Xenopus tropicalis: one gene and its partners. The protein of the gene in region 5 binds, or shares a complex with, the protein of the main gene of each other region. Links are inferred from orthologs where the notes say so. Each region holds a gene or a part of one and is shown on either strand. Other genes may lie near its edges.

The links.
Region 1: kat2a (region 5) and sgf29 share a complex: the UniProt entries of both Homo sapiens proteins name them as parts of the ADA2A-containing complex. The link is inferred for Xenopus tropicalis from reciprocal best matches to the Homo sapiens genes KAT2A and SGF29.
Region 2: kat2a (region 5) and taf4 share a complex: the UniProt entries of both Homo sapiens proteins name them as parts of the TFTC-HAT complex. The link is inferred for Xenopus tropicalis from reciprocal best matches to the Homo sapiens genes KAT2A and TAF4.
Region 3: kat2a (region 5) and kat14 share a complex: the UniProt entries of both Homo sapiens proteins name them as parts of the ADA2A-containing complex. The link is inferred for Xenopus tropicalis from reciprocal best matches to the Homo sapiens genes KAT2A and KAT14.
Region 4: kat2a (region 5) and supt7l share a complex: the UniProt entries of both Homo sapiens proteins name them as parts of the STAGA transcription coactivator-HAT complex. The link is inferred for Xenopus tropicalis from reciprocal best matches to the Homo sapiens genes KAT2A and SUPT7L.
Region 6: kat2a (region 5) and tada2a share a complex: the UniProt entries of both Homo sapiens proteins name them as parts of the ADA2A-containing complex. The link is inferred for Xenopus tropicalis from reciprocal best matches to the Homo sapiens genes KAT2A and TADA2A.
Region 7: kat2a (region 5) and wdr5 share a complex: the UniProt entries of both Homo sapiens proteins name them as parts of the ADA2A-containing complex. The link is inferred for Xenopus tropicalis from reciprocal best matches to the Homo sapiens genes KAT2A and WDR5.

The regions. Positions count from the first base shown.
Region 1 is NC_030685.2:2,319,566-2,323,620, forward strand, and holds the start of sgf29 (SAGA-associated factor 29), read left to right. Parts: upstream 1-1,255; 5' UTR 1,256-1,274; coding exon 1,275-1,349; intron 1,350-1,641; coding exon 1,642-1,717; intron 1,718-1,802; coding exon 1,803-1,875; intron 1,876-1,968; coding exon 1,969-2,033; intron 2,034-2,119; coding exon 2,120-2,249; intron 2,250-4,055. UniProt on the Homo sapiens protein: Chromatin reader component of some histone acetyltransferase (HAT) SAGA-type complexes like the TFTC-HAT, ATAC or STAGA complexes.
Region 2 is NC_030686.2:4,389,757-4,394,214, reverse strand, and holds the start of taf4 (transcription initiation factor TFIID subunit 4), read left to right. Parts: upstream 1-1,606; 5' UTR 1,607-1,620; coding exon 1,621-1,891; intron 1,892-3,690; coding exon 3,691-4,458. UniProt on the Homo sapiens protein: The TFIID basal transcription factor complex plays a major role in the initiation of RNA polymerase II (Pol II)-dependent transcription.
Region 3 is NC_030681.2:38,333,880-38,338,464, reverse strand, and holds the start of kat14 (cysteine-rich protein 2-binding protein), read right to left. Parts: upstream 3,005-4,585; 5' UTR 2,948-3,004; intron 211-2,947; 5' UTR 1-210. UniProt on the Homo sapiens protein: Component of the ATAC complex, a complex with histone acetyltransferase activity on histones H3 and H4. May function as a scaffold for the ATAC complex to promote ATAC complex stability. Has also weak histone acetyltransferase activity toward histone H4.
Region 4 is NC_030681.2:5,368,149-5,371,978, forward strand, and holds part of supt7l (STAGA complex 65 subunit gamma), read right to left. Parts: intron 3,224-3,830; coding exon 2,899-3,223; intron 1,612-2,898; coding exon 1,374-1,611; intron 1-1,373.
Region 5 is NC_030686.2:6,930,083-6,933,912, forward strand, and holds part of kat2a (histone acetyltransferase KAT2A), read left to right. Parts: intron 1-17; coding exon 18-209; intron 210-621; coding exon 622-728; intron 729-1,849; coding exon 1,850-1,960; intron 1,961-2,392; coding exon 2,393-2,529; intron 2,530-3,432; coding exon 3,433-3,641; intron 3,642-3,830. UniProt on the Homo sapiens protein: Protein lysine acyltransferase that can act as a acetyltransferase, glutaryltransferase, succinyltransferase or malonyltransferase, depending on the context.
Region 6 is NC_030678.2:76,068,665-76,073,090, forward strand, and holds the start of tada2a (transcriptional adapter 2-alpha), read left to right. Parts: upstream 1-1,423; 5' UTR 1,424-1,434; coding exon 1,435-1,459; intron 1,460-2,956; coding exon 2,957-3,063; intron 3,064-4,426. UniProt on the Homo sapiens protein: Component of the ATAC complex, a complex with histone acetyltransferase activity on histones H3 and H4. Required for the function of some acidic activation domains, which activate transcription from a distant site. Binds double-stranded DNA.
Region 7 is NC_030684.2:8,199,382-8,204,008, reverse strand, and holds the start of wdr5 (WD repeat-containing protein 5), read left to right. Parts: upstream 1-1,644; 5' UTR 1,645-1,687; coding exon 1,688-1,768; intron 1,769-3,522; coding exon 3,523-3,631; intron 3,632-3,704; coding exon 3,705-3,778; intron 3,779-4,097; coding exon 4,098-4,187; intron 4,188-4,627.

The DNA of each region.
Region 1 (4,055 bases), on a different chromosome or scaffold from region 5:
AACTACAGAGGATTGTGGGAGCTGTAGTTCGGTACTAGGTGGAGAGAGAGAGGGGCGGGGGGACAGAGGATTGTGGGAGTTGTAGTGATTCCTTAACACCTTTCCCACTCCCAGCAGCCCTGCCTCTGCCTTATTAGCCCTAAACTACAACTCCCAGCAGCCCTGCCTCTCCCTTTTATCCCCCTATTCCCAGTGCTATTACAATAAATTTGCTGGTGTCACACTACTACTTCCAGTGGTGGCAGGGGTTCCCGCTGGCCCTTTATCTGGTTCCGGGGGTTCCCGCTGGCCCTTTATCTGGTTCTGGGGGTTCCCGCTGGCCCTTTATCCGGTTCTGGGGGTTCCCGCTGGCCCTTTATCCGGTTCTGGGGGTTCCTGCTGGCCCTTTATCTGGTTCTGGGGGTTCCTGCTGGCCCTTTATCTGGTTCCGGGGGTTCCCGCTGGCCCTTTATCCGGTTCTGGGGGTTGCCGCTGGCCCTTTATCCGGTTCTGGGGGTTCCTGCTGGCCCTTTATCTGGTTCCGGGGGTTCCCGCTGGCCCTTTATCCGGTTCTGGGGGTTGCCGCTGGCCCTTTATCCGGTTCTGGGGGTTCCTGCTGGCCCTTTATCTGGTTCCGGGGGTTCCCGCTGGCCCTTTATCCGGTTCTGGGGGTTCCCGCTGGCCCTTTATCCGGTTCTGGGGGTTCCTGCTGGCCCTTTATCCGGTTCTGGGGGTTCCCGCTGGCCCTTTATCCGGTTCTGGGGGTTGCCGCTGGCCCGTTACTGGGGGTTGCCGCTGGCCCGTTACTGGGGGTTGCCGCTGGCCCGTTACTGGGGGTTGCCGCTGGCCCGTTACTGGGGGTTGCCGCTGGCCCGTTACTGGGGGTTGCCGCTGGCCCGTTACTGGGGGTTGCCGCTGGCCCGTTACTGGGGGTTGCCGCTGGCCCGTTACTGGGGGTTGCCGCTGGCCCGTTACTGGGGGTTGCCGCTGGCCCGTTACTGGGGGTTGCCGCTGGCCCGTTACTGGGGGTTGCCGCTGGCCGGCAGTTAGGGCCAATTCAGTCAGACAGGAGAGCTGCTGATAATAGTTAAAGGGTAACAGCTCCCAGGGCCCCTCCCCCTCAGCCTTGTGTAGGGCACAGGGTACTGAACCTGCCTTATAATGGGGCATTACAGCGGGGCATGATGGGGTATTACAGCGGGGCATGATGGGGCATTAGAGCGGGGCATTATGGGGCATTAGAGCGGGCCATGATGTTCCTTTCTTGCTCCCCAAGGACAGAGAAAGAGGCGGAGATGGCGCTGGTGTCGGCGGATACGAGAATCTCTGAGCTGCTCAGTGAGTTGCACCAACTCATCAAACAGACCCAGGTGAGCGATGTGCTGCAGCAGCCCCGGCCCCCCCAGTGGGAGTTAGTGATGGGGCCCCCCCAGTGTGAGTTAGTGATGGGGCCCCCCAGTGGGAGTTAGTGATGGGGCCCCCCCAGTGTGAGTTAGTGATGGGGCCCCCCAGTGGGAGTTAGTGATGGGGCCCCCTGCAGGGTGGTTTATTCTGCCCCCCCAGTGTAAGTGAGTTAGTGATGGGGCCCCCTGCAGGGTGGTTTATTCTGCCCCCCCCCGGTGTAAATGGGTTAGTGATGGGCCCCCTGTTCCCCCCCCGCAGGAGGAACGCTCGAGGAGTGAGCACAACCTGGTGAACATACAGAAGACGCACGAGCGGATGCAGACTGAGAACAAGAGTGAGTATGGTTAGTACTTAGTGTGCGAGTGGCGCCGCCGGTGCCCGGGGCCAGTAACAACAACTCCTTCTCTCTCCCCCCCCAGTCTCCCCCTATTACCGAACCAAACTCCGAGGTCTCTACACCACAGCCAAGGCCGACGCAGAGGCAGAGTGCAAGTGAGTGTGGCCCTAATGCCCCTGTGTGCCCACGTTCTGCCCCAGGGCCTCCAGCCCTAATACCCCCATTTCTGTTTGTGCCCCCCCCCCCAGCATCCTGCGCCGGTCCCTGGATAAAATCGCAGAGATCAAGTCCCTGCTGGAGGAACGGCGCATCGGTGAGTTTATTGCCCTCGTCTGGGTATTCCCCGGGCGCAACTTCTGCCCCTCAGAGTGTAAATCCCTGTGCCCTCTGCCTCTCCAGCTGCCAAGATAGCCGGCCTCTACCACGACTCGGAGCCCCCCCGCAAAACCATGAGACGGGGCGTCCTAATGACTCTGCTGCAGCAGTCGGCCATGACTCTGCCTCTCTGGATCGGGAAACCCGGGGAAAAGTGAGTGCCCCCAGAGCCTGCCCCCAGTGCCCCCGTAGCCTGAGGGAGGGACCCGTAGCCCGAGTGCCCCCGTAGCCTGAGGGAGGGACCCGTAGCCCGAGTGCCCCCGTAGCCTGAGGGAGGGACCCGTAGCCTGAGTGCCCCCGTAGCCTGAGTGCCCCCATAGCCTGAGTGCCCCCGTAGCCTGAGTGCCCCAGTGCCCCCGTAGCCTGAGGGAGGGACCCGTAGCCTGAGTGCCCCCGTAGCCTGCGGGAGGGATCTGTACCCGGAGTGCCCCCAGTACCCCTGTAGCCCGAGTGCCCCCGTAGCCTGAGGGAGGGCCCGTAGCCTGAGTGCCCCCGTAGCCTGAGGGAGGGACCCGTAGCCTGAGTGCCCCCGTAGCCTGAGGGAGGGATCTGTACCCGGAGTGCCCCCTTAGCCTGAGGGAGGGACCCGTAGCCTGAGTGCCCCCGTAGCCTGAGTGCCCCCGTAGCCTGAGGGAGGGACCCGTAGCCTGAGTGCCTCCGTAGCCTGAGGGAGGGACCCGTAGCCTGAGTGCCCCCAGTGCCCCCGTAGCCTGAGGGGGGGACCCGTAGCCTGAGTGCCCCCTTAGCCTGAGGGAGGGACCCTTAGCCTGAGGGAGGGACCCTTAGCCTGAGGGAGGGACCCTTAGCCTGAGGGAGGGACCCGTAGCCTGAGGGAGTGACCAGTAGCCTGAGTGCCCCCGTAGCCTGAGTGCCCCCGTAGCCTGAGTGCCCCCGTAGCCTGAGTGCCCCCGTAGCCTGAGTGCCCCCGTAGCCTGAGTGCCCCCAGTGCCCCCGTAGCCTGAGGGAGGGACCCGTAGCCTGAGTGCCCCCGTAGCCTGAGTGAGGGACCCGTAGCCTGAGTGAGGGACCCGTAGCCTGAGTGAGGGACCCGTAGCCTGAGTGAGGGACCCGTAGCCTGAGTGAGGGACCCGTAGCCTGAGTGCCCCAGTGCCCCCGTAGCCTGAGGGAGGGACCCGTAGCCTGAGGGAGGGACCCGTAGCCTGAGTGCCCCCGTAGCCTGAGGGAGGGACCCGTAGCCTGAGTGAGTGCCCCCGTAGCCTGAGGGAGGGACCCGTAGCCCGAGTGCCCCCGTAGCCTGAGGGAGGGACCCGTAGCCCGAGTGCCCCCGTAGCCTGAGGGAGGGACCCGTAGCCCGAGTGCCCCCGTAGCCTGAGGGAGGGACCCGTAGCCCGAGTGCCCCCGTAGCCTGAGGGAGGGACCCGTAGCCTGAGTGCCCCCAGTGCCCCCGTAGCCTGAGGGAGGGACCCGTAGCCTGAGTGCCCCCGTAGCCTGCGGGAGGGATCTGTACCCGGAGTGCCCCCAGTACCCCTGTAGCCCGAGTGCCCCCGTAGCCTGAGGGAGGGCCCGTAGCCTGAGTGCCCCCGTAGCCTGAGGGAGGGACCCGTAGCCTGAGTGCCCCCGTAGCCTGAGGGAGGGATCTGTACCCGGAGTGCCCCCTTAGCCTGAGGGAGGGACCCGTAGCCTGAGTGCCCCCGTAGCCTGAGTGCCCCCGTAGCCTGAGGGAGGGACCCGTAGCCTGAGTGCCTCCGTAGCCTGAGGGAGGGACCCGTAGCCTGAGTGCCTCCGTAGCCTGAGGGAGGGACCCGTAGCCTGAGTGCCCCCAGTGCCCCCGTAGCCTGAGGGGGGGACCCGTAGCCTGAGTGCCCCCGTAGCCTGAGGGAGGGACCCGTAGCCTGAGTGCCCCCGTAGCCTGAGTGAGTGCCCCCGTAGCCTGAGTGAGTGCCCCCGTAGCCTGAGTGAGTGCCCCCGTAGCCTGAGTGAGGGACCCGTAGCCTGAGTG
Region 2 (4,458 bases), about 2.5 Mb from region 5:
CCAATGAGGTAAAAACCTACACCGCAACTCATAATGCTGTTTAGTGGAAAATGCCCTACGGCTTCATATTGACAGAAGCCAATTATGCTTATGCTTTGTACCGCACAGTGTGCACTCGTGGTGCTGTATAAATAATATATCCAGATGGGAATTAAAGGGACAGTGCACCGGCACCACCTAGCCAATGGCTGAGCAGGAGCAGTCTTCCATTATATAATAGGTTAACGTTTTGTGTTTTAGCGCTGCCTCACAACAGGAGGCCAGTGGCACATTCTTACTCTTTGGTACATAAAATAACATGGGACCCCAATACTGCTTGGGGTTTCCCTTTGATTGCAAGCTCTTCTGTAAAGTGCTGGGTACCATACAGGCACTCTATAAAGTATTGAGGAGAAATCCGATAGAGGGAGGATACAGAATCAGAGCCTACTCCCTAACAGAACCCATTCCAGAACCTTAAGGGACAGAATTCTTCTCATTGGACAAAACCTGCAGGGCCCCTGATCACCCCCCCCCCCCCCTCCAGTGATCCTTTGGGGATCCAGTTTCCAGTCATGACTTGTAGATCCACTAACCTATCATTTATTGGGGATTAACCCTCTAAACACTGTGCAGGGAAAATCATCACCCCATGTAGATTGTATCTATCCCTTATACAGCCCCATACCCTCTCTAGTTGCCCAGTTTGTTACCCCACAATGGGGCAGTCACATTAACCCCCGGCCATGTCCATTTCCCAAGGCCCATTGAGTACTTAGTCCCCATTACACCACTTCTTATAAATAAATAAATAATCTAGTAGAATTTCTATTTGGCTTTAACTCCCCCATCACCATAATAACCCCAATACCCCTGCCCAGATACTATACTGGGGTACTTATTGGCTCTTATACCTCCAAACACTGCCCTAGGGTAATCATTCACCCCCTATAACCCCCATTACACCCCCAACAACTCTACTGGGATAGCTATTCAGTTCCCAAGGGATATATATACTTATTTACCCATATGCCCCTCTTATCCACCCACATACCCCTTTATTTACACCCCCCTACACTCCTTCCCAGATACACAAGCTTCTCCCTGCCCATAGTCACGGGAACCACATTAGTTGTAAAACTACAACTCCCAGCATGCCCCTCCGCCTAAGCGGCACGGTCGGTAGACAGCGGATCCCACAAGCGGCAGTAGTGCGTTTGTCCGAGCCCTGTATGAGGTGTCCCACCCACCCGGTGACAGGAACGCCCCCTCCCTCCCGGTAACCCGCAGCGGGCGGCAGACAGGAGTGGCGGCGGGACACCCGCAGCAGCCATTTTGAATTGAGCAGACAAAGAGCGCGCGTTTCTGTGGCGGGGCGACTTTCTCCGCTTCAGGCGTCGCCACGCCACCCGGTTTCCCGCGCAGACCCTTCCCCGACCGCCCCCTATTTTTGTGCCTCCCTCCCGTTCCACCGACCCCGCTCGATCCCCTCCTGCCCTCCCAATACCGCTCGCAGCCATTTGCCCGCTCCTTATGTAGCCATGAAGCAGCCAATGGGAGCGCCGCTCCGGTGTGACGTAATTGCCCCGCCGCGCAGGCGCACAGAGCTGCTGCCCTCCTGAGTTGAGCGGCGGAGTAAAGATGGCGGCGGGTTCGGATCTACTGGATGAGGTTTTCTTCAACACGGACGTGGACGATAAAGTGGTCAGCGAGCTGGTGGGATCCCTGGAGTCTCAGCTGGCCGCCGCGGCCCACCAGCACCATCATCACCACCACCACCAGCAGCAACCCCCCGCCGAGGCCCGCAGCCAGGCCCTGGCTAACCATGTCACCAGCCCGGGGGTAGGGGCAGCCAGTGCGGGGGGACAGCCTGAAGCCAAGATAGGGCTCTCCCCGGAGGTGCCTAAGACGGGTGAGGCCTGGGGGCGCCGAGCTGAGCGGGCAGGGGGGCCGCGGGAATGTTTTGGCGGCCGGCGGGCTGACTGGGGGCCTTCAGGGGCTCTGCTGGGTGTGATGGGCCCCGGGAAACGCTCTGGGGGCCCCACATGGACTTCTGGAGTTGCTGCTCTTGGAAAACTGGATACTTGTACTACTTGGCGCCTGTGGAGTGACTTGGAGGGGGGCCAAGGGCTTTGGGGGGGCACATTGGCCCATAGGAAATAGAATTGGGGGTACACATGGACTCCTGGAGCTGCTGATGGCTGGCGACTGGATATTTGGGGTATCCGGCAGTTTCCTGGGGTAACCGGGCAGCCTGGGGGCATTTGGGGGGTATACTGGGCCCTGGGCAGCCTTCTGGCCAGTCTCACATGGACTCATAGAGCTGCTGATGGCTGGCGACTGGATATTTGGGGTACCCAGCAGTTTCCTGGGGTAACCGGGCAGCCTGGGGGCATTTGGGGGTATACTGGGCCCTGGGCAGCCTTCTGGCCAGTCTCACATGGACTCCTGGAGCTGCTGATGGCTGGCGACTGGATATTTGGGGTATCCGGCAGTTTCCTGGGGTAACCGGGCAGCCTGGGGGCATTTGGGGGTATACTGGGCCCTGGGCAGCCTTCTGGCCAGTCTCACATGGACTCATAGAGCTGCTGATGGCTGGCGACTGGATATTTGGGGTACCCAGCAGTTTCCTGGGGTAACCGGGCAGCCTGGGGGCATTTGGGGGGTATACTGGGCCCTGGGCAGCCTTCTGGCCAGTCTCACATGGACTCATAGAGCTGCTGATGGCTGGCGACTGGATATTTGGGGTACCCAGCAGTTTCCTGGGGTAACCGGGCAGCCTGGGGGCATTTGGGGGTATACTGGGCCCTGGGCAGCCTTCTGGCCAGTCTCACATGGACTCATAGAGCTGCTGATGGCTGGCGACTGGATATTTGGGGTACCCGGCAGTTTCCTGGGGTAACCGGGCAGCCTGGGGGCATTTGGGGGTATACTGGGCCCTGGGCAGCCTTCTGGCCAGTCTCACATGGACTCGTAGAGCTGTTGGTGGCTGGCGACTGGATATTTGGGGTACCCGGCAGTTTCCTGGGGTAACCGGGCAGCCTGGGGGCATTTGGGGGGTATACTGGGCCCTGGGCAGCCTTCTGGCCAGTCTCACATGGACTAATGGAGCTGTTGGTGGCAACAGACTAGAGATTTGTGGCATTTTAGGGTTTTGGGGGTGACTGTGGGGAGATGAGTGCTGTGTGGATCATTAGGGGGCAGTTTGTGCCCCAGGAGAAGATTTGGGGGTCCACATGAACTTTTGGCGCTACTGATGGCCTTGTTGTAGATACTTAGATACCTGGGATTTTCTGGGGGCTATAATGAGCCTTAATAAATGGACTTGGGGGGCAAGAGGCACTATATGGTCATTTGGGGGGGTGTGGGTGAAATTGCCTTATGTGGGGTATGTTCCCCGTGTACTTGGGGAGCTGGCACTGAGGGCACCGTCTATATGCCGCTCACTTACAAGGGGGGGGGGGGGGGTAAATCTTCCTGGGGGCATCATTGGGTTCTCTTGGAATGGTTTGGATTTCTGGGTGGCATGTTGGGTTGTGGGGTTGCCTAATGCCGCTTCTGAGGGGTCCAGTGGGCGTTTGCTGGTGGAACCAAGTGCTGGACCAGAGTGGGTGCACAGGGGTGGCTATCTGTATATTCCGGCGGGTGTATACCCCATAGCTCTGTTTCTTTCCCTGCTGTTTAAAAAAAAATGTCCTTTTTCTCCCACAGGAGCCGCTGTACCCGGAGTACAAGGAGGTGTCATTAACAGCCGCCCACAGACCACAGCACAGCCTGACGGGACTCAGTCTGCTATACCCGAAGCACCAGGAGCTCTTAGCCAGGCCAAATCTGGGGTTCTGGGCAACATGGCTTCCACTCTGCCCAACCACAGTTCAGGTAATGGCAAAAATGCCACCCTACAGACCATGAATGGGAGTAATGTTGTGATTAATTCACACGGACCTGGGGGTCACGGAACCCCCTACCAGGGGAACAGCAATGCCGCTGTCGGCCTGGTAAACAACGGACCGGCTCCTGTCGCTAAGGGTGGAGTGAACCCAGGAGCTAACACCGTTATCCAGACTTCTTTCCTTGGGACTACTAACGTGGCATCCTCAGTCATCTCCTCCTCATCCACATCCACTGCGGGAGCAGCTGGGCAGCAAGCTGGCATGGCGGGCGTACCCACCAGCGTGGCATTGGTGAGACCTCTGTTGCACCAGGGCGTGCCCGCCACTCAGAACGGGAGCAATACTGTGATCAATTCCCCTCTGTCCGCCCCTGCCGGGGTCTCGCTGCAAATGAACAATCAGCCCAGTCCGGTGATCAAGTCGGAATCCCCTAAAACTATTATCCAGCCCCCTCAGCAGAGCCAGCCTAACCCTGGCAATATGGTGTTAGGACAGACTATGCAAGCTGGGCACCCTGGTCCTGGAGGAGCTGTGTCTGCCCCCGGTGCCCCTACAGGAATGGGCAAAGCTACAGTCAGCGCCGTGC
Region 3 (4,585 bases), on a different chromosome or scaffold from region 5:
AAGTTCTGTCACTGTGCTGCATCAATTCCTAAGCACAAAAACTCTTGGCAGAATTGATATCTAAGCCTTGGAGGATCCCTCAGTGAGAAGAACTTTATCTCTTTCTGCCTCAAGCTGTTTGGTTAGATGAATTTGCTCCTGAAGTAGGCGGAGGTTCTCCTGCTTCCGACTCTGCCTTTGCAAGTCTTGAATTACTCCGTCACGCAGTCTCTGCAACCCAACAACAGACTTATTAACATCTACCCTTCAGCAGCTTCCATTCCATACAAAGAGTCATGAGTCACAACAGTGTAATTGTACCAGTTTATGAAATGTCATACTGGTAACATTCTATACCAATATTGTATAGCACAGGCGTGTATGCTGTCCAACATTTTCATATCAGGGTGCCCTTAAAAGAAAACTATTTTAATCTCTGTAATCTGTCCCTTCAAAAGTATGAATAAATACCTTCTCCACAGCATACAGACAGCATGCAGGTAGTACATAATCCACAATGCACTGCACTGTGATGTTCCTTTTATCATTGACATTATGTGTGCAGGGGATTGTGGGATTTGGAGGATGCAGGCTAAAGGCAGGCAGAGGACATTAGACTACTGTTACATTTTTTTTTTTTTTTGAGTTTTAAAGTAGTCAGCCAGATCAGCAGGAGAACAGGCTAAGGTAACTGTTCCAATCCATATTATCACATTAAAAATCATGAAAAGGCTGCATATTTTTAACTGATGTAATATTGCAACATTGCTTGAAATTATGTTTTCATTTTTTAAAAACTTTTAGTTGTGTTTGGTTGCAGTTTCCCTTTAGTTAACAAGGGTACAGATATATAAAAACATTGCTATGGCAGTCACCCAGCTAAAGCTCTAGGGGTCTTACGAACAGCAAGTAACCAGTGGTGTTATAGCTCAACCTATTCACCCTCACACCCATTGGGTACAAAAAAAGATTATTATTATTTCATTAGTGCTAGGGCCTCTCTCTTTTGGACTACAGTTCAACAGCTGGTGGACCATAGACTGGAACTATTAAAAGAAACCATTTCAAGAAGCTTTGCAATATACATTTATTACAAATTTATAATGGCTTGGAAGTTATCTGTATAAATAACTGCTATTAAAAGCAGTGTCTGTCCTTTTTCTATTCTCTGTCCTGGTGGCTCGGACTGTAACACAAACCAGCAGATTAACAGACCTGGGTTGTATCCTTATTGCTAAAAGTTATTTTTAAGGGACGACATAGTGTGATTGGTTGAAAAATAAATGTCACAATGTGAGCTGACACTCCAATGTGTCACAGTTCTCCAACTTTGAGGCTGGGCCCCTATGGGGACTTGGAGTGGGTGGCAACTAAGTATGTAGGTTAGTGAGGATATTAGGGAAAATCAAATGAAAGCCCAGCTTGAAGGTCAACTAGGGTGCAATTTGTGGTGGATATGTTTTGCTTCCTTGAATGATATAGCAATACATCTATACCCATTTCATTAGTTAAGGGGGCCCTGAACAAAGGTTAAATCTTTAACTGCAAATATTTGACAACCAATGCTCTATACTTTGGTCCATAAGAGACAAGTTATGTTTTCAGTTTGCAACTAAGAAAATAAATTCAAGTTTTGTTTAATATAAAAACTGCATATTTATAAACTCATCAATTAAATGGCATGAAGCAGGCAGTCTAATGAAGTAGAGTTTAAGTACAGTAACAGCCCAAGTATTAAGCACTGTGCAAAAGAAACTTTAATGTCGTGTTTGAGGTGTGAGCTGCGCAATCAAACCTGCAGCACTGGGAGGAGGAACACTGAGAAGGTACTGCAGGAACATGCCTGGCAACAAAATACATTTTATAAAAGGTTCCACACAGGCCTGCATGCCCAGGACCCTGCCATCATTGTTTGCCTGGAATAGTTTAATGGACATGTAAACCCCACACACAAAAAATTAAGCAGTGAAGCCTCTTTGAAATCTTTCAAAACCTGCCACTCTGGTTGTCCAGAGGTTAATAGTAAGGCTGCAACATCTCCTTAATCACTTAGATTTCCTTCTCCTCCTGTAACCCAATTGGGAATTTGCTTTGATTCCTGGCTTGCCAAACATGCTCAGTTGTTCTAAACTCAGATTACTAAACACACCCTCCAGTCCAGCAGCCAGTGAAGAGATGGCATTGCTGGTTCCCATAGAAACTCAGCTCTAGCTGTCTGCTTCAATTTTTTTCTCCTAACCTCCTCTCCTGAGCTCAGCTCAAACGAAGCAAAACTTTTATTAAAGACAGTTGAGCCTGTTTGAGCCTGTATTCTTGATGAAATGTATGCTGAATAAGGGTCTGTGTGTGTGTATGCTGTTTGCAGATAAATGTAACTGATTATGTATCAGAGGAAAAATGGCCACTGGGTGAAAGCTGCTATTTGCTTTAGGAAAATGTGATGTTGCTGGCAAGCGGAGGGGGGGATATATGCAGTACAAATGATGCCATCTGGGTGGAGGAGATGTGCCCAACTGATATACATTGTAGGCAAATGTAGGCTTTACATGTCCTTTAAATGTACGTATTTGAGCCTTTATCTGTACAGTATTGCACTTCAGATACTTCAGAGCCCTGAACTGCAATGTATGAATGGGGCTAAAATATCATCTTTATTGAGGGATAAATTCCATCTCTGAGCTGGGTTGTTCCTCATGTAGTGAGGGCAAGTAAAGTTGTTACTGTACTGAAATCAGAAATAATGCACCCCCATTCAGCCCCAGTGCAATAAGCATACAGCCTTACTGTACACCATAAGGAGTGGGAACATTTCAAATATAGTGGGTTCAATGTATTTACTTTGCTAGGATAACACTGATTGCCATGACCTTCATTTAGCATAATGGGCAAGGAGCAGACAGAGCATAAGTGCTAGCTCAGCTCCAGTTCAGGGCACATGCGGCGAAAGTAGCACATCCCTGCTACTAACCTCTCTGTCCAGTCTCTGCTTCACATGCACGCCAACCACCGTACCCACAGACAGCACCACAGAGATACCCAGCACCACCTTCGATATGGTAGACATGCCTGCAATAACGCAGGACCGGATGGGGCGGGGCGATTGTGGAACGCAAGAAGTTGCTGCGCAGCTGCAAACCGGAAGCTGGGAAAGAGAAGCTGCAGAATCCATTTTGGGAAAGGGGAGACGTTTATGATAAATATGTGGGTTACCGGCGGGAAATATATGGTTTATATTAGTTTGCATGTAAAGCGTATGACAGCTGTGCAATTACGTTTCGTTATCCGCTTTTACTAATATGTTACTTTGAAGGAGCATTTTGTCTGGTGTGGGATTAGATGAACGGGTGTATAAATCCTGCTTGATAGTATATGCGAGAGGCTGCACATATGTGACTGGTACTAAGCTTGCTTATTTCGTAATAAAGAGAAACTCACGATCAATAAAACGTGTGGTTATTTAGATTCCTGTGATTGGGTATCAGGAGTTTGCTAGTTATGCTGCTGGGGCAATTTGCAGGGCATGGAAGTAGCCATTGGGGCAGAGCTAATGTCCCGCTTGCAGCACATGGAAGCCACATATCTGGGTTTAGTAAAGGGGAAGGGGTTTGCACCTGGCAGGTAAATATTACAGTTTTATGCCAATGTTACTAACAGGGAAGAAAGAATATCTTTTCTAAAAAAGATGGCATTCCCAGGAAGGAGCCATATCAGTGGTAATTAGAAGTTAATGGGTCCCACACAGTATTTTCCCTTGATCTTCATATTTTAATAATGTTCATCATTCAATACATTTTATTTGGCCTTTTTAAATTTCTGATTTTGATATTAGAAAATGCCCCAATTTATGCCCAGGTATGTAACAGCTCATTAAATGGAATCCCGCAAATTGGGTTGTTGCAAATTTCACATATAGGCACAATACCACCTGCAGATAGATTTGTAGTATGATTAAGTAAACACTGAGAACCCATGTAAAAGAAATAAACACATGATTTAAAAAGTTTTATTGTATGTGTTGTATTGGTGCCAGGCAGCTGCCAATTATTATAACCTATCCCCCTACTACAATATGGGCTCGTACAGACAGAGGTTTTGCCCTGCGTTCCCAAGATGGCGTTCTTTTGTGTTCCACCGCCGGGCGAAACACAGCCTTTACTTCCCTGTCTTGCTGTACTCACATAGACATGTAAGCACCTAACGCAGGTAAAACACAGCATGTTGCGTTCCACCTGTGTTCAGCACTTATAAGTAGGAATGCACCGAACCCACCCTGACGGATTCTGCCAAAATCCCGAACCGAATCCAAATCCTAATTAGCATATGCTAACTAGGATTGGGAAAAAAAATTTTCCCCAGGCCATTTAACCCTTTCCAAATTCTACTTAGCATATGCAAATGTATGCTAATTAGGACTCGGTTCAGCCGGGACCGTGGATTCGTCCGAAACCGAATCCTTCAAAAAAAGCCTGGATTCGGCCCATCCCTACATATGAGCCTATGATTAAGTACCATAGGGTACGAAATGCGTAAGGCTAATTGCTATATGTGTTAGTACAATAAATCTTTTGTGATTTTACTTTAATGAATGACTGTTATTCAACTACCT
Region 4 (3,830 bases), on a different chromosome or scaffold from region 5:
CTGGAGTCCCAAAGCTTTAGAAATGGCTTTATAACCTTTACCAGACTGATAGATCTCAGTTACTTTTGTTCTCATTTGTTCCTCAATTTCTTTTGATCTTGGCATGATGTCTAGCTTTTGAGGTGCTTTTGGGCTACTTCTCTGTGTCAGGTAGCTCCTATTTAAGTGATTTCTTGATTGAAACAGGTGTGGCAGTAATCAGGCCTGGGGGTGACTACACAAATTGAACTCAGGTGTGATAAACCACAGTTTAGTTATTTTTTAACAAGGGGGGCAATCACTTTTTCACACAGGGCCATGTAGATTTGGAGTTTTTTTTCTCCCTTAATAATGTAAACCTTCATTTAAAAACTGCATTTTGTGTTCAATTATGTTATCTTTGACGGTTTTTGATGAGCAGAAACATTTAAGTGTGACAAACATGCAAAAGAATAAGAAATCAGGAAGGGGGCAAATAGTTTTTCACACCACTGTATATGGGGTTATTTGTGCAACCTTTATACAATGACAAGTGAAGCAAAGAGCTAATCGCTCTAAGGGCAAACATTGTGGCATGGTGTCTTTTGGTACTGCTCGTTTGTCAGTCAAGTTTAAGTCCCGGTACAGCAGCACAGAGACTGGATGGGTGGAGTTTGAACTTCCACTCTAGCCCATCCAATCCCTACGCAGCTTTACTGGGACTTGAAGGGGTTGTTCACCTTTGAGTTTTTGCAAATTTGCAATTGGTCTCCATTTTTTATTATTTGTAGTTTTTTAATTATTTCAGTTTTTGTCCGGCAGCTCCCCAGCTTGGTGTTTCAGCAGCTGTTTGGTTCCTAGGATCCAAATTACTGTAGCAACAAGGGTGTGGTTTGAATGAAAGCCTGATATATGAATAGGAGAGGGGCTGAATAGAAAAATATAAAGTAATAGTAATATAAAGTAAATAGTATAAAAAGTAATAGTAATAAAAAGTAACCGTAACAATAAAACTGGAGCCTCACAGAGCAATAGGGTTTGGCTGCCGGGGTCAGTGACCCCCATTTGAAAGCTGCAAAGAGTTTGAAGGAGAAGCGGAATAATTCAAAAACTATGAAAAACAAATAATGAAGACCAATTGAAAAGTTGCTTAGTATTGGCCTTTCTATGACATACTAAAAGTTAACTATAAAGGTGAACCCCTTTGAACTTCACTGACAAATGAGTCCAGAGCAATTGCCCCCCCCCGATGGCAGCACAAAATACATGGAGGGGTAGATTATTCTTTACTGGAGTTTAGCTTGAAACCAAAGCTGCCAGCGTGACTCTGGTCCTACGGAGAAAACGTCCCTAAACGCCTTGATTTTCTGAAATAAATCACCGCTTTATTGCAGCAGATTTAACCACTTCCTTACCAGAGGGCTGAGGCGACGAATCGACTTCGATGTTAGCAGAGAACCTCTCGCTCTGAGCGCCTAGGACTCCGACAGGCAATGACTGGTCCCCGGGCGCTAGGTCCCCCTCCAGCTCCTCGTTGATGGGGAAGGTTATGTCGGTGAGGGGCTCCTCTTTGATCTTCACCGGTTTGGTGTCTTCAGAGGCCCTTTCGGGGTGCACGATGTTCTCATACTCCTCCGAGAGCTGCTTGCTGACCTGTAGCGCCAAATACACAATGGGGGTGTATTTATTTATTATAATATACAAGTTTCAGCGAGTCATGTGACAGAAATGACATCATAATTTACAGTTTGGTCCCATAGGGAAATGACCAAACTGTATACCGTATTTTCCGGCGTATAAGACGACTTTTTAACCCCGAAAAATCTGTGCCAAAGTCGGGGTTCGTCTTATACGCCGGGTACTTACCTGCACCTTGCTTCCTGGCAGGGCTGCCATCAGGGGGGCATGGGGGGGGGACCATCTTCCCGGGCCCTGCTTCCTCCGGCTCCGGTGGTGTCCTCCGCTATGTGCCGCGTAGCCACTCCTCCTGCCGCTCCGGTGGTGTCCCCCACTATGTGCCGCAGCTCCCCGCTACTTCTGCACTTTTATAAGGTTGCGGCCCGTGCGTACTGACGTCACACGCACGGGGTGCAACGTTATAAAAGCGCAGAAGTAGCGGGGAGCTGCGGCACATAGCGGGGGACACCACCGGAGCGGCAGGAGGCAGCTGGGAACTGAAAGATGCTTGGGGGCCCTGGGGGAAGCTGAAGGATGCTTTGGGGGGGCCCTGGGGGAAGCTGAAGGATGCTTTGGGGGGCCCTGGGGGAAGCTGAAGGATGCTTTGGGGGGGCCCTGGGGGAAGCTGAAGGATGCTTTGGGGGGCCCTGGGGGAAGCTGAAGGATGCTTTGGGGGGGCCCTGGGGGAAGCTGGAGGATGCTTTGGGGGGGCCCTGGGGGAAGCTGGAGGATGCTTTGGGGGGGCCCTGGGGGAAGCTGGAGGATGCCTTGGGGGGTGCCCTGGGGGAAGCTGGATGATGCTGGGGGGGCAGAAGGATGCTTGAGAGGGGCCTGGGGGGAGCCGGAGGATGCTGGGGGTGCCCTGGGGGAAGCAGGAGGATGCTGGGGGTGCCCTGGGGGAAGCAGTAGGATGCTGGGGGTGCCCTGGGGGAAGCAGGAGGATGCTGGGGGTGCCCTGGGGGAAGCAGGAGGATGCTGGGGGTGCCCTGGGGGAAGCAGGAGGATGCTGGGGGTGCCCTGGGGGAAGCAGGAGGATGCTGGGGGTGCCCTGGGGGAAGCAGGAGGATGCTGGGGGTGCCCTGGGGGAAGCAGTAGGATGCTGGGGGTGCCCTGGGGAAAGCAGGAGGATGCTGGGGGGGAGCGGAGGGTTCGGTTCTGCAAGCCACAGGGTGGTAGTATATTCCAAACTCTATATTTTAACTGGAAAAGTTGGGGGTCGTCTTATATGCCCAGTCGTCTTATACATATATGAGTATGGGTTACCTGCAACATGTATGTGTGATAATCCTTAATACGCTGCTGCCAAAACTTCTGTAGAGACAGGACACTCCCGATGCCCATTTCATGGAAGACTTGCTCCACGGCATCTTGGAACGGCGTCTGCCCCAGTCTCGCTTCTCGGTCCACGTTGAATCGCAGCATCTTGGTAAATTTCAGGCAGTACTCGTGGGCAATGTCGGTCAGGGTTTCCAGAACACTTTCATTCGCGGACTCGAAGCCGGCGTGGGCCAGTATGGTGGCTACGGACTGGTACATGAGCTGCCGGCAGGAATGGTAACCGAGCTCTGTGACAGGTTCCCCTTTCCCTCTGAGGAATGAAAAATATAAAAATATCAGTCTCCAGTCTTGTTACATAAAATGTCATCTCTTCACCCGACTGCCATGTAAGCTGCCATCAGTGTGTTCTGGTAGATACAGCTTAATAAGTTCCTTCCACTCCCCCCATAAGCTTCATTCAGAGTGTTCTAGTCCCACCCACTGCTGGAGTCACTGACTCCCTGCCACATTCCCAGTAAATTCCCATCAGTGTTCTAGTCCCACCCACTGCTTGAGTCACTGACTCCCTGCCACACTCCCATTATGTTTCCATTTGAGTGTTCTAGTCCACTCAATGTTTGAGTCACTGACTCCCTGCCATAGTCCCAGTAAATTTCCATTAGTGTTCTAGTCCCACCCACTGTTGAAATCACCGACTCCATGCCTCGCCCCCTGTAAACTTCCATAAGAGTGTTCTAGTCCCACCCACTGCTTGAGTCACTGACTCCATGCCTCACCCCCCTGTGAACTGCCATCAGAGTATCTGAGTCCCACCCACTGCTTGAGTTACAGACTCATTGCCCCATCCCCTGTAAGATGATATCAATGTTCTAGTCCCCCCCCCCCCACTTCTTGAATCACAAACTCCCTGCTCCTCC
Region 5 (3,830 bases):
CCCATGTTCTTTTGCAGGTGGCTCTGTTACTGCCACGTACCACAGAGCTGTGACAGCCTGCCACGCTATGAAACTACACATGTGTTTGGGAGGAGTCTGCTCCGTTCCATCTTCACTGTTACCCGGAGACAACTGCTGGAGAAGTTCAGGGTGGAGAAGGACAAGCTTGTTCCCGAGAAGCGGACTCTTATCCTTACACACTTCCCAAAGTGAGTGTGAGCCATTATCTCCGATAAGTGTTGATTCTTAATGGGGACCTGTCACCTTTAGAAATATTTCCAAATCCCTCTTTATTATGTTAGTTGAGCAAAATAAACTTTACCTACACTACATAAATTATATAAATCTTGTTTCCCTCAGTCTTACGAGTACACATTCACAGCAAGCAGGCAGCTGCCATTTTGTAAGCATTGTTGTTAAGGCAAGCTTTGCATTATCCCAAAATCTTGTTTAGCCTCAACAATCTGGCACCTGGTGCCCATGTACAGGATACATAAATACATCTAGGAAGTGCTGAAGGGAAAGTGAAAGTAATTGACTGACCTGCCTCTGTAAAGGTTTTTTTTTAACATTTATGGATGTTTTTGGTATAATTAAAACTGCCATCTATTTATTAACTAGGTTCCTCTCCATGCTGGAAGAAGAAATCTATGGTGAAAACTCACCCATCTGGGAGGCAGATTTTACTGTTCCAACCACAGAAGGTGCCCAACTAGTGTCTCGTCCAGGTACAATCTCTTTGTCTTGTATTGATATAAGGCTTGATAGATAATTGTCCATTTCTTCAGCTAACCTAAAATCAATTTTCTAACTCACAGGGTAATGGTCAAATTTTAATTCTATAATAAAACTTTCAGGAGTTAATAGAATAAAAGTTCCAACGTTTGATACAGGTGTGGTCACCTACAGCAGCCATTCAGCAGGTAACATGTACTGATTAGCTGCTTGAAATCAAACATCTAAATGGTTTCTGTGGCTTGCTAGACATGGCCAAGCTGAGTGCCATTTTTTTTACATTGTACATGATCCCAATATTGTTTAATCTTTGCATTAGTCTCTGAAATTAAGGATGTCATGCATTCTGGTTTCCAAGAAGTCAGTGTCTTCTCTGACCATAATAGGAAATCTGTGCCCAGTGTGATCAATTGAAGGTCCTCAATCAATCTAGCCATTCTACAATATGCTCAACTTGATCCTTTCTTGATCCTTTTTGGTGTTTTTTGGGATTGAGCTGCCTGTGTGTGACCAAATTTCATGTCATTTTATCGGGCCAGCCTCAACACTGAATCCTATGACAGACATTGTTTTAAACGAAAACAGTTATTACACTTATCGGAGAGACAGGCTTGTTAGTATAAATGCACAGAAGCCAGGATTCGGTTTGGCCTTTTTCAGCAGGATTCTGATTCAGCCGAATTCATGCTCGTGGCCGAAGCGAATCAAAATCCTTCAAATCGTTTGCCTTTTTTCACATAAACACGGAATTTGGAAATTTTTCTTAAACCCTTCCGTATCCTATTTTACATGCGCAAATTAGGATTATGTTGGCCGAATCATTTAAAAAGGATTCAGGGTTGGGGCGAATCTGAAAATAATGGGTTCGGTGCATCCCTACTTATTAGGCAGAGTGCATCTTTCTGTTTAGCAGGATTCATATTCTATATGTTGATGGAAATCCTGAGCAAATGTAGAATTGCAAAAAGGGGCTAAGCCCTAAAAAAACCCCCTCTGCTTTAGATTTAAAGTTTTAGCAGAATGTAAGCATTTTTGCTTGGTTGCTTTTTGCCTATGACCTATAAGAGTTTTGCCTGTGCCCTCATCCTGATTTTTTCTTCATTTTGCCCTTTAGCTGCTGTCAACACTACTTCAGTCCCCTCTACTCCTCTCTTCAACAACAATCTAAACAACAGTTCTTCTCTCTCGTCCAGTGGGGACACTAGCAGTTCAGAACCAATGCCAGGTATGTGTTGCTCCAAGCACACCAACACAAAGATTTGAAGAAGGCACATGTATAAGTGCAAGTCACACTGAACCAGTGTTCATTTAGTTTATATGTATTGATACACTGCGCAGCAAATAGCATATTAAATCTAAATGATTAAACCTTTTGTTAGTTACTTAATATAAATGTAATAAATATTGTTTTGGTTATTTTGTGTCAGTGCTACAAAGTAATGTATTAGATGGTTGTTTCTCAGCTTTACATCCACCCCTCTTGCCCTTGGTGCCATTGGTTGTAACACTGTGGGTTTGGAACCACAATGGAACCCCAGAGCAGTGACTGGGGGCGCAACCTCAAGGCCATATAAGTTAAACACTTGGGAGAATGCCCATTGGTCCTCCTTGTCCCGGAAGGTTCCATTTATTGATGGACATCAATTCTTCTGTGCAGGTGAGAAAAGGAAATTATCTGACAGCCTGACCTTAGAGGATGCCAAAAGAATACGAGTGATGGGAGACATACCCATGGAGCTTGTCAATGAGGTCATGCTCACCATAACAGATCCTGCAGCCATGCTGGGCCCTGATGTAAGCAAATGCTAACCATTGCTCTTTCTCTACTGTGCAAGTTAGTGCTTGTTTCTCCACTGTGCAGGCTATTTGTTTCAAGAAAAACTATTGTTTCCCCCATCTGGAGTGCGGGCTCTATTAGCCTGAACCTCAGGTGGGGGAAAACCAACATGGGGGTGATAGGTGCCCTGTAAAGGAATAGTTCTGTGTAAAAATGGAACTGGGTAAAATAGACAGACTGAGCAAAATAAGAAAATGTTTTCAATATCATTGATTAGGCAAAAATGTAATCTATAAAGGCTGGAGTGGGCAGAGGTCTAACATAATAGCCAGAACACTGCTTCCTGCTTTCAGCTCTCTAAGCTGTTAGCAGTCCGTAACCAATCAGTGACTTTAGAGGGAGGGGCCATATGGGACATAACTGTCAGATTACATTTGTATCTGGCCTGCGTGCTCACAAACTAACTGAACAGTTATGTGCCATGTGGCTCCCCCTAAAGTCACTGGCTAACTAAGAGATTAGAGAGTTGTAAAGCAGGAAGTAGTATTCTGGCTATTATGCTAGACATCTGCCAACTCCAGCCTTTATAGATTACATTTTTACCTAACTATGTTAGAAATATTTTTTATTTTGCGCAGACTGTCTATTTTACCCAGGTTCATTTTTACACTGAACTGTTCCTTTAAAGAGACATACCATGGTTCTGTAACAGAGTATTCCCAGGCTTAATGAGGGTAATATTCAGGTTCAGGTTTTATTGTCATCTCAACCACATAAGAAACTTACACAGTTGTTGATTGTCCCCTCTTGTCTACCATAGATATCTAAATAATTCATCTTTAATCTCGCCATTGCCTATCAGTTATGTCTGTTTCATCGCGTAAATATTCTTAATTCTTTTTGTACTTCTGTGTGCACAGACGAGCTTGCTTTCAGCCAACGCAGCACGAGATGAGACTGCTCGCTTGGAAGAAAGAAGAGGGATAATAGAGTTTCATGTAATCGGAAACTCTCTGTCTCAAAAGTCAAACAAAAAGATCCTTATGTGGCTTGTGGGTCTGCAAAATGTGTTCTCTCATCAGCTTCCACGGATGCCAAAGGAGTACATAACCCGGCTTGTCTTTGACCCGTGAGTGAATAAGAATTTCACTAAATACTTTGGTTACTCCTTAAAAGGGTGGTTCACCTTTACATTAGCTTTTATTATGTTATCATGTCCTATTCTGAGCAACTTTGCAATTGGTCTTCATTATTTTTTTAATTATCTGCCTTTTTATTTCTACATCTTTCCAGCTTTCAAATGGGGGTCACTGACCCC
Region 6 (4,426 bases), on a different chromosome or scaffold from region 5:
AGGGGCCCATTTACTAACCAAGTTATTTTTTTTTCTTCTTGGTTTTTTAGTGCTAAGAATCGCAGAAAAAAAAGTCACAATTTTTTCGAGATTTACTATGCGTCAAAATGGCTAAAAATCCGAATCCAACAATTCAAAGCTATAACTTGCCAATATCATGTAGAATACAATAATACCAAGACTTGCTCTAAGCCACCCAGCACATTAAGCCTAATTTAAAATTTAGAACAGCCAGTCTCAATTTGCATTCGCTCACCCCTTCACAGAGTTGGCCTTGCCCTGGACCCTTCACTCAGGGAAAATAATTTTTTTTACAACTATTTCTTCATTAAAATATCAAGTGAATCACAGTTTTTTCATGGACACTCACCCCACTGATCCGGTGGTCTGGGCGCAGCGCCCCAGACCCGTATGAAAGAGAGACCCAGCATACCTATGACTACGTGTTGAAAGACACGAAGCGTGTCAGGATTATTGTAAATAAAATAATTTCTTAACCACCTACACCCGTGTCTGGAGTGCGTACCCATCGAGAAATATAATGTAGAAATCCATGGCAGAGGTCCTTTTTCTTGAAGATCCTTCCTTTGTCTCAAAACTTTAGAGGTTTAAAAAATTTTACGCTGTTTTTTGTGCAACAATCCAAGGTTTTGATGTGACAATTCGAAAATTGCGAGTTTTCGCAGTGACAGTTTGAAAAAGTCATAATTGCTGTGACTTTTACTGGCCCAGACTTGGAATTTTTTTTGTAAATGTCAGACATTCAAGGAAATGAAAGTGTGAATTTAATTAAGGAACTTGAGATCAGGCACAGATGCATTAAGTATTTGAACATAATCTAACAGCTATGAATGGTGTGGCTTTATATGAATGGACATTTATTGCAAAGGGGTTTTCTGTGGATGGCTAGGAAGTTAAATGATAAAGCAGCACTGAAATTTAGGCTTTATGACACAGGTTGTTTACTTTGACTTAGGACCACGGATGCGCAGGTGTGTGTGCAGATTCATGCCACATGACAACAGGGCCACTGTTGGACAGCAGAGAATGTATGCATTTTGTCGTCTTTGCCCTGCACAGCAGTCATCCAGACCCAAACTCACAGCGCACACTGACAGCTGCTGGGGAAAGAGCACTTTCCCTAGTACAAGGCGCAAGGCTGAATTGGGACTGCAGAACAAAGATGAAAAAAGCCCATTACTTTTCTACTATCCAGCTGGGAGAGGGAGCGAGCAGTTCCATTCAGGCGACAGAGAACTAGTGAACAGCACGTCACTCACAGGGCCAGGCCGCACAGCCAATCAGAAGGCAGAGGGGATAGGAATGCTCTCCCTGTATATCGTCATAAGTTCCCGCCCACGTCTTGCTCACGTGTCTGTGACATCAGAGCCGCCTCCATTCTAACATCTACCAGCGTGGAAAGAAAGGAAAGCAATGGACCGGCTAGCACCATATGGGAGTGAGTGTACGGGCACACTAGGGATGGAGGGTGGCGGTGTGCACTATGCAGTTTTACGCGGACTGTACAAAACAAATTGCAAATTTCAGTGCAACAGTCGTGTATGCTGGGTACCATCAGAGATAGTGTGTACAGTAAGCGCTGTGTATCAAGAAAAAGGGGAAGGGATGGATGGAAGCCGGTATGCATCAGTTGCTCCCTATGGTACCACAGAGTGGGCCTTGCACAATATCGGCAGTGATAATACAGTAAATCCAGTGGTCGATAGAGGGGAGTCACTGCTGCACCTCTGTATTTAGAACTGCGTTGTACAATAATGCTCAGGTATCAGCTATTTACTGTATGAAGTAAATGTATTAATATATGATGTTACCTTTAAAAGGATAATGTTTGCATAGTATATTTGGAGGAAAAATGTCACTTTGCCCACAAATTTATTATATACTGTATTGAAAATAATTTAAAAGGACAAAATAAAGGTTTAACTGTGTAGTACTTGAAGAAGCGTAGTTGTGGGTAATGTTATTTTCTACTGAAAAACGTGTGCATTATTGCTGTGTATTTCCTGGTGCTCATGTGACTCCACAAGAACTTTGTCTAATTCAGAGAGTGGAGAAGAAAAGCTGTGACTGAGGCAAAGTAAACACACCATTAAAGAGATACTGACACCAGAAATGAAACCCTTTGCATAATCTTTTATCATTTTGCCATAAGTATTTGTCCAATGCTTTTACATTACCTATCTGATCCCCCATGTTCGCCTGTGAGGAGGCTGCCATATTTGTGCAGCAGCTTAGCATTAGAAGCTATAACTGACAGGCTTAGAAGGGACAGTCAGGTTTAGGAACTTTAAGTAACAATTACTTCTAAAAGCAAACCTATCGGCAAAAATGATCAACATAAATAACTTTTTATGTAGATTCATATTTTTTCATGTCAGTATCACTTTAAACCAGGGGTGGGCAAACTTTTTGGCTCACGGGCCACATTTACTTACCCCCAGGCCAGCTTTACGCCCCCTTAGTCTGTTTAATTCCGGCCCGCCAATGACACCAAGTCTCGCGTGATGAGACTTGGCGTCGTCGGCGGGCCGGATTAAAAAGGCCAAGGGGCCGGACGTGGCCCGCGGGCCGTAGTTTGCCCACCCCTGCTTTAAACTATAAGGGCAGTGATGCACTAGACTTTTTCCCCACAACCTACCATCTTGATCAGTGGCAGCGCTTCAGGTCACCCCACACCTGCAAGTATTTCATAACCCTTAAAATAAATATGATTTCAGATCTTCCAGTTTAATTGAAAAACTTTATTAGGGTTGATTTTTCCAGAGCAGGACTGTGCTGTCTTTTCAGCAAGCAGTAAGAAGTACCTTACCCTTTTAAGGGTGAATTGTTTGTACATGGGGTTTACATTTTTATCTAGATATTTGTATTATGTAATAATATATATTCAATTTGCTTTTTCTGTGATACCCAAAGAGTAATCTGAATGTTGTTCTAGGTGATCCCTTTGACAAACCACCCTGCAAAGGGTGTTCATCATATCTCATGGAACCATACATTAAATGTGCTGAATGTGGACCTCCTGAATTTCTTCTGTGTTTACAGGTAATTGCGCATATGCATAGTCTTTAGGTAATGCTGTCTTTGGGATTATTGAAAGGCCATGAAGCAGAAAAATATCTAGCCAGTCAATTGTGCATAATATGAAATGTGCCAGACCATATTTCTTTAATGTTGTTTTTCCTTAAATACATTTGGGAACATAGCTGCTTTTTAGACAGTGTTTATTCACCTTTTTGTCATGGCCTCACCTATGTCTCCCTGCTCAAAGAACTTAGAGGAATAATTTAAGACAATATTTTTCAGAAAAGAATTTCAGTGTTACCCATAGAAAAATGGGCAACCCTTTTTAGATTGTAGCTCTATTTAGCAGTTCCCTCTCTACATCTTGTATCTGTTTTCGGTTGTATTTTTACATGTAATCTGTATGGTCAATTTTATACATCAATTTATTGTACAGCAATGCAGAATATAATGCTTATATAGTCAATAGAAATAATGGTAGCAATAACTCCCAGTGAGTTTGGCTTTCATTGTCCACTGAATGTTGACTGTGGTAAGCCTGTGATTTATATAATACATTTAGCATTAAAAACATTGTCATAACTGAAAGCATTTGCAGCTCCTGGCTGAATGTTTTGTAGAACAAGATATCACAATTAGTTTTGCTGGAATGCAAACTTAAAGGAGAAGGAAAGGTAAAAGCTCTGGTGGGGGTGCCAAGTTGTTAGGTTTTTCGTCAGCCATTAGTGGCTTTCCTGTGAACCCTGGGATGGTTTCCATTTTCTCTAAAAAAATAAAATGCGCTAGTCTGGGATACTGTATACTGAGAGCCATGTCCTTTATTTTCTCAATTTTTGTTCTTTATTTAAGAAGAGGTGAGCTGGCCCAGGTTACCAGGCAACCGATTAGAATCACTAGGATGTGCCTAAAAACTTGGTACCCCCACCCCCAGTGATTTTTACTTTCCTTTTCATAGTTAGTTATAGTTACATAGTTACATAGGGTTGAAAAAAGACCAGTGTCCATCAAGTTCAACCCATCCAAGTAAACCCAGCACACCTAACCCACACCTACCAATCTATACACTCACATACATACACTATATATACAACCACTAGTACTAACTGTAGATATTAGTATCACAATAGCCTTGGATATTCTGATTGATCAAGAACTCATCCAGGCCCCTCTTAAAGGCATTAACAGAATCTGCCATTACCACATCACTAGGAAGGGCATTCCATAACCTCACTGCCCTCACCGTGAAAAACCACCTACGCTGCTTCAAATGGAAGCTCCTTTCCTCTAATCTAAAGGGGTGACCTCTGGTGCGCTGATTGTTTTTATGGGAAAAAAGAACATCCCCCAACTGCCTATAATCCCCTCTAATGTACTTGTACAGAGT
Region 7 (4,627 bases), on a different chromosome or scaffold from region 5:
CCCCATACCTTTATATCTCCTCTCTCATACCCCCACAGATACCCCCCCATTCCATATATCTCCTCTCTCATACCCCCACAGATACCCCCCCATTCCATATATCTCCTCTCTCATACCCCCACAGATACCCCCCCATTCCATATAGCTCCTCTCTCATACCCCCACAGATACCCCCCCATTCCATATAGCTCCTCTCTCATACCCCCACAGATACCCCCCCATTCCATATAGCTCCTCTCTCATACCCCCACAGATACCCCAATACCCCCCCATACCTTTATATCTCCTCTCTCATACCCCCCACAGATACCCCAATACCCCCCCATACCTTTATATCTCCTCTCTCATACCCCCACAGATACCCCAATACCCCCCCATACCTTTATATCTCTCTCTCATACCCCCACAGATACCCCAGTACCCCCCTTACCTTTATATAGCCTCTCTCATGCCCCCAGCTACCCCAATAGCCCCCATACCTTTCCTATATATCCTCTCTCATGCCCCCAGCTACCCCAATAGCCCCCATACCTTCCTTTATATCCTTTCTCAAACACCCCAGTTACCCCCATACCTTTATATATCCTCTCTCATATCCTCAGCTACCCCAATAGCCCCCATACCTTTATATCTCTCTCATACACCCACAGCTACCCCAATAGCCCCCATACCTTTCCTTTACATCCCCTCTCATACCCCCCAGCTACCCCAATAGCCCCCATACCTTTATATCTCCTCTCTCATACCCCTACAGATACCCCAATAGCCGCCATACCTTTATATAGCCTCTCTCATACCCCCACAGATACCCCAATAGCCCCCATACCTTTATATAGCCTCTCTCATACTCCCACAGATACCCCAATAGCCCCCATAACCTTTATATCTCCTCTCTCATACACCCACAGCTACCCCAATAGCCCCAATACCTTTCCTTTATATCCTCTCTCATACCCTCAGCTACCCCAATACCCCCCATACCTTTCCTTTATATCATCTCTCATACCCTCAGCTACCCCAATAGCCCCAATACCTTTCCTTTATATCCTCTCTCATACCCCCAGTTACCCCCATACCCCCCCATACCTTTATATATGCTCTCTCATACACCCACAGCTACCCCAATACCCCCCATACCTTTCCTTTACATCCTCTCTCATACCCTCAGCTACCCCAATAGCCCCCATACCTTTCCTTTATATTCTCTCTCATACCCCCAGCTACCCCAATAGCCCCCATACCATGATATATCCTCCCTCATACCCCCACGGATAGCCCCCATACCAATATAGATACTCTTTTATACCCCCACAGCCAGACCAATAGCCCCCATACCTTTATATATCCTCTTTTTTTAACCCCACAGCCACACCAATAGCCCCCCATACCATTATATCCCAAACAGCCACGCCCCCTCAGAAAGGTCTCCCTATTGGCCACAATGTTTCCCCAAAAAATCTACAGCCCCACTACTGCCTGTACTGTTACACAATGCTCACACGTGCACAATAGGAGAACCCCATACCACATATAAATACATTATTCTGGAAAGGCTTCTGGTACAAATAGTAGTAAATAAGTAATAAATATTGCTAATTATGTCCTTTTCTTTGTTTACAAACACCTAGCCTGCATAGTGGGAGTGGCCATCTGCTAACTCAAGGGGCCCCATTCCAGTTCTTGCACCATGGCAACAGAAGAAAAGAAACCCGAAACTGAAGCTTCCAAGACGCAATCCACCCCATCCTCGTCCAATAATCAGAGCAAGGTTGGTATTCTTCTACATGTGGAGCGGCCAAGATGCTTCCAGTAAGGCTTTGGGTGTTACTTTTGTGTGAAATCCAGCAGTTATGGATCATTAATCCTGCTTATAAAGGGTAATGTTAAAGGGGAAATATATCCGCCTCTGGCTTTTTAAATATACCCTTAATATAAAGGGCCTCTTATAGGTGGGTAGTGTAGTAGGGTTATAGGATCCAAAGGGTTACATATTCTTTTCCTACTTAAATATACATCTTAGAAAATTAACTTTTAGTAAGAGGTCCCAAGAATTGGCCATTCTGTAACATACTAAAAGTTAAAGGGGATGTCAACCCAAGATAAAATATTGACTAAAGAAAATGTATTTTCAAGCAACTTCCCAATATCCATTCATTCCCCATTCTCACTGGGTTTATAGTTATGTGTAACTGTCACTGTGTCTGTCCCTTTCCCTTCCCTGCACTGCTGGTTCTGACTCCTGATACAACTCCCCAATACCCATTCATTCCTCATTCTCACTGGGTTTATAGTTATGTGTAACTGTCACTGTGTCTGTCCCTTTCCCTTCCCTGCACTGCTGGTTCTGACTCCTGATACAACTCCCCAATATCCATTCATTCCTCATTCTCACTGGGTTTATAGTTATGTGTAACTGTCACTGTGTCTGTCCCTTTCCCTTCCCTGCACTGCTGGTTCTGACTCCTGATACAACTCCCCAATATCCATTCATCCCTCATTCTCACTGGGTTTATAGTTATGTGTAACTGTCACTGTGTCTGTCCCTTTCCCTTCTCTGCACTGCTGGTTCTGACTCCTGATACAACTCCCCAATATCCATTCATCCCTCATTCTCACTGGGTTTAATAGTTATGTGTAACTGTCACTGTGTCTGTCCCTTTCCCTTCTCTGCACTGCTGGTTCTGACTCCTGATACAACTCCCCAATATCCATTCATTCCTCATTCTCACTGGGTTTATAGTTATGTGTAACTGTCACTGTGTCTGTCCCTTTCCCTTCCCTGCACTGCTGGTTCTGACTCCTGATACAACTCCCCAATACCCATTCATCCCTCATTCTCACTGGGTTTATAGTTATGTGTAACTGTCACTGTGTCTGTCCCTTTCCCTTCCCTGCACTGCTGGTTCTGACTCCTGATACAACTCCCCAATATCCATTCATTCCTCATTCTCACTGGGGTTTATAGTTATGTGTAACTGTCACTGTGTCTGTCCCTTTCCCTTCCCTGCACTGCTGGTTCTGACTCCTGATACAACTCCCCAATATCCATTCATCCCTCATTCTCACTGGGTTTATAGTTATGTGTAACTGTCACTGTGTCTGTCCCTTTCCCTTCTCTGCACTGCTGGTTCTGACTCCTGATACAACTCCCCAATATCCATTCATTCCTCATTCATATACTGAAATATGGCAGTAGATCCTCACCCAGGGTTGGGAGTTTTATGAATTTAAGTTGAATTGTTTCTGGTTTCTCATGAATACGTTCGACTCAACCAACTTTTGGGTACTTTCCAATACGCGGCTCTGATGTTTGTAGAGAGATGAAATATAGGGGGTGGGTGCTGAATGTGACAAATTTCAGGTTTGTGCAGCGGTTACATACAACATGGCTGCCTGCCCTGGGGGCTCCCTGTCACTGTAGGGGGCTGTTTTTTATTTTAAAACTATTGTTTCCCCCAACTCTCTGCCTCAATGTCTGCAAAATACATTTCTGAAATCCCCATTTTTCTCTTCTATTCATAGCCTGCACCAGTAAAGCCAAATTACACGCTAAAGTTCACCCTCGCCGGACACACCAAGGCCGTATCATCTGTAAAATTCAGCCCGAACGGGGAGTGGCTCGCCAGTTCATGTAAGTGACATTCCACCTATCGTTATGTCTTTGCCCTAAAGAAACTACAGTGTCACTTTTTTGTTCTTTTCAGCGGCCGACAAGTTAATCAAAATATGGGGGGCGTACGACGGCAAGTTTGAAAAAACCATATCCGGCCACAAGTTGGTAAGAACCTTTTGTTGTTATTGCTCGCGTCTAGCCGGTGTTGAATTCCTGTAGCACCATATATTTAAATTCCACCAGCGTCTGCTTCGTGTAACATTAAACCCATACTGTTTTGCACCTTATCCCCCCAGCGCCGTGCAGCAGAAGCCAATTAGAGTTTGCATTTGCCAGACACCTCCCCAGGGGCCTCCCTAATTTATAGACGGGCTTGGGGATTTCATGTGTTTTAATTTGGCACTGGTTAAGAAATATAAACCCCCTTAATCAAATCCGATTAGTGAAACTTTTATTTATTTATTCTTTTTATTTTTATATTCAGGGAATATCTGATGTCGCCTGGTCCTCTGACTCCAACCTCCTGGTTTCTGCTTCTGACGATAAAACTCTAAAAATCTGGGACGTGAGCTCGGTGAGGCCTGATTGACTTACCGTTGGGAAGAATATGTTTTTGTGTTTCTTCATTGAGGGGTAAAATGATAACACAGGATACATTCCCTATTTCTCTTACATCATGGGGGACACAGGAACAGCCTAATTGCCTCGTTAATCCAGTGGGCAAACGTGGCCTTGGTAGTAGGCAGAGCCTCTCTAGAGGCTAGGCCTAACCTCCTGTCCACTTAAAAAGCTGAGCCCTGTTGGCTAAGCAAAAGGGTTAAAGAAAAGAGGGAGGAGCAACAGTTATGACATCACTGCAGTGTCCTGCCTCCTGGTAGGAGGAGCCCTTTACCCCACTCTTCCTGTGTCCCCCTAACGACTATAGAGAAAAGGATTTAACGGTGTGTATATAAATCTTCCTTATTGAAGGTGAGTCCATATTACCCACTGCTTCCATCGGAGCTATCAGTGGTG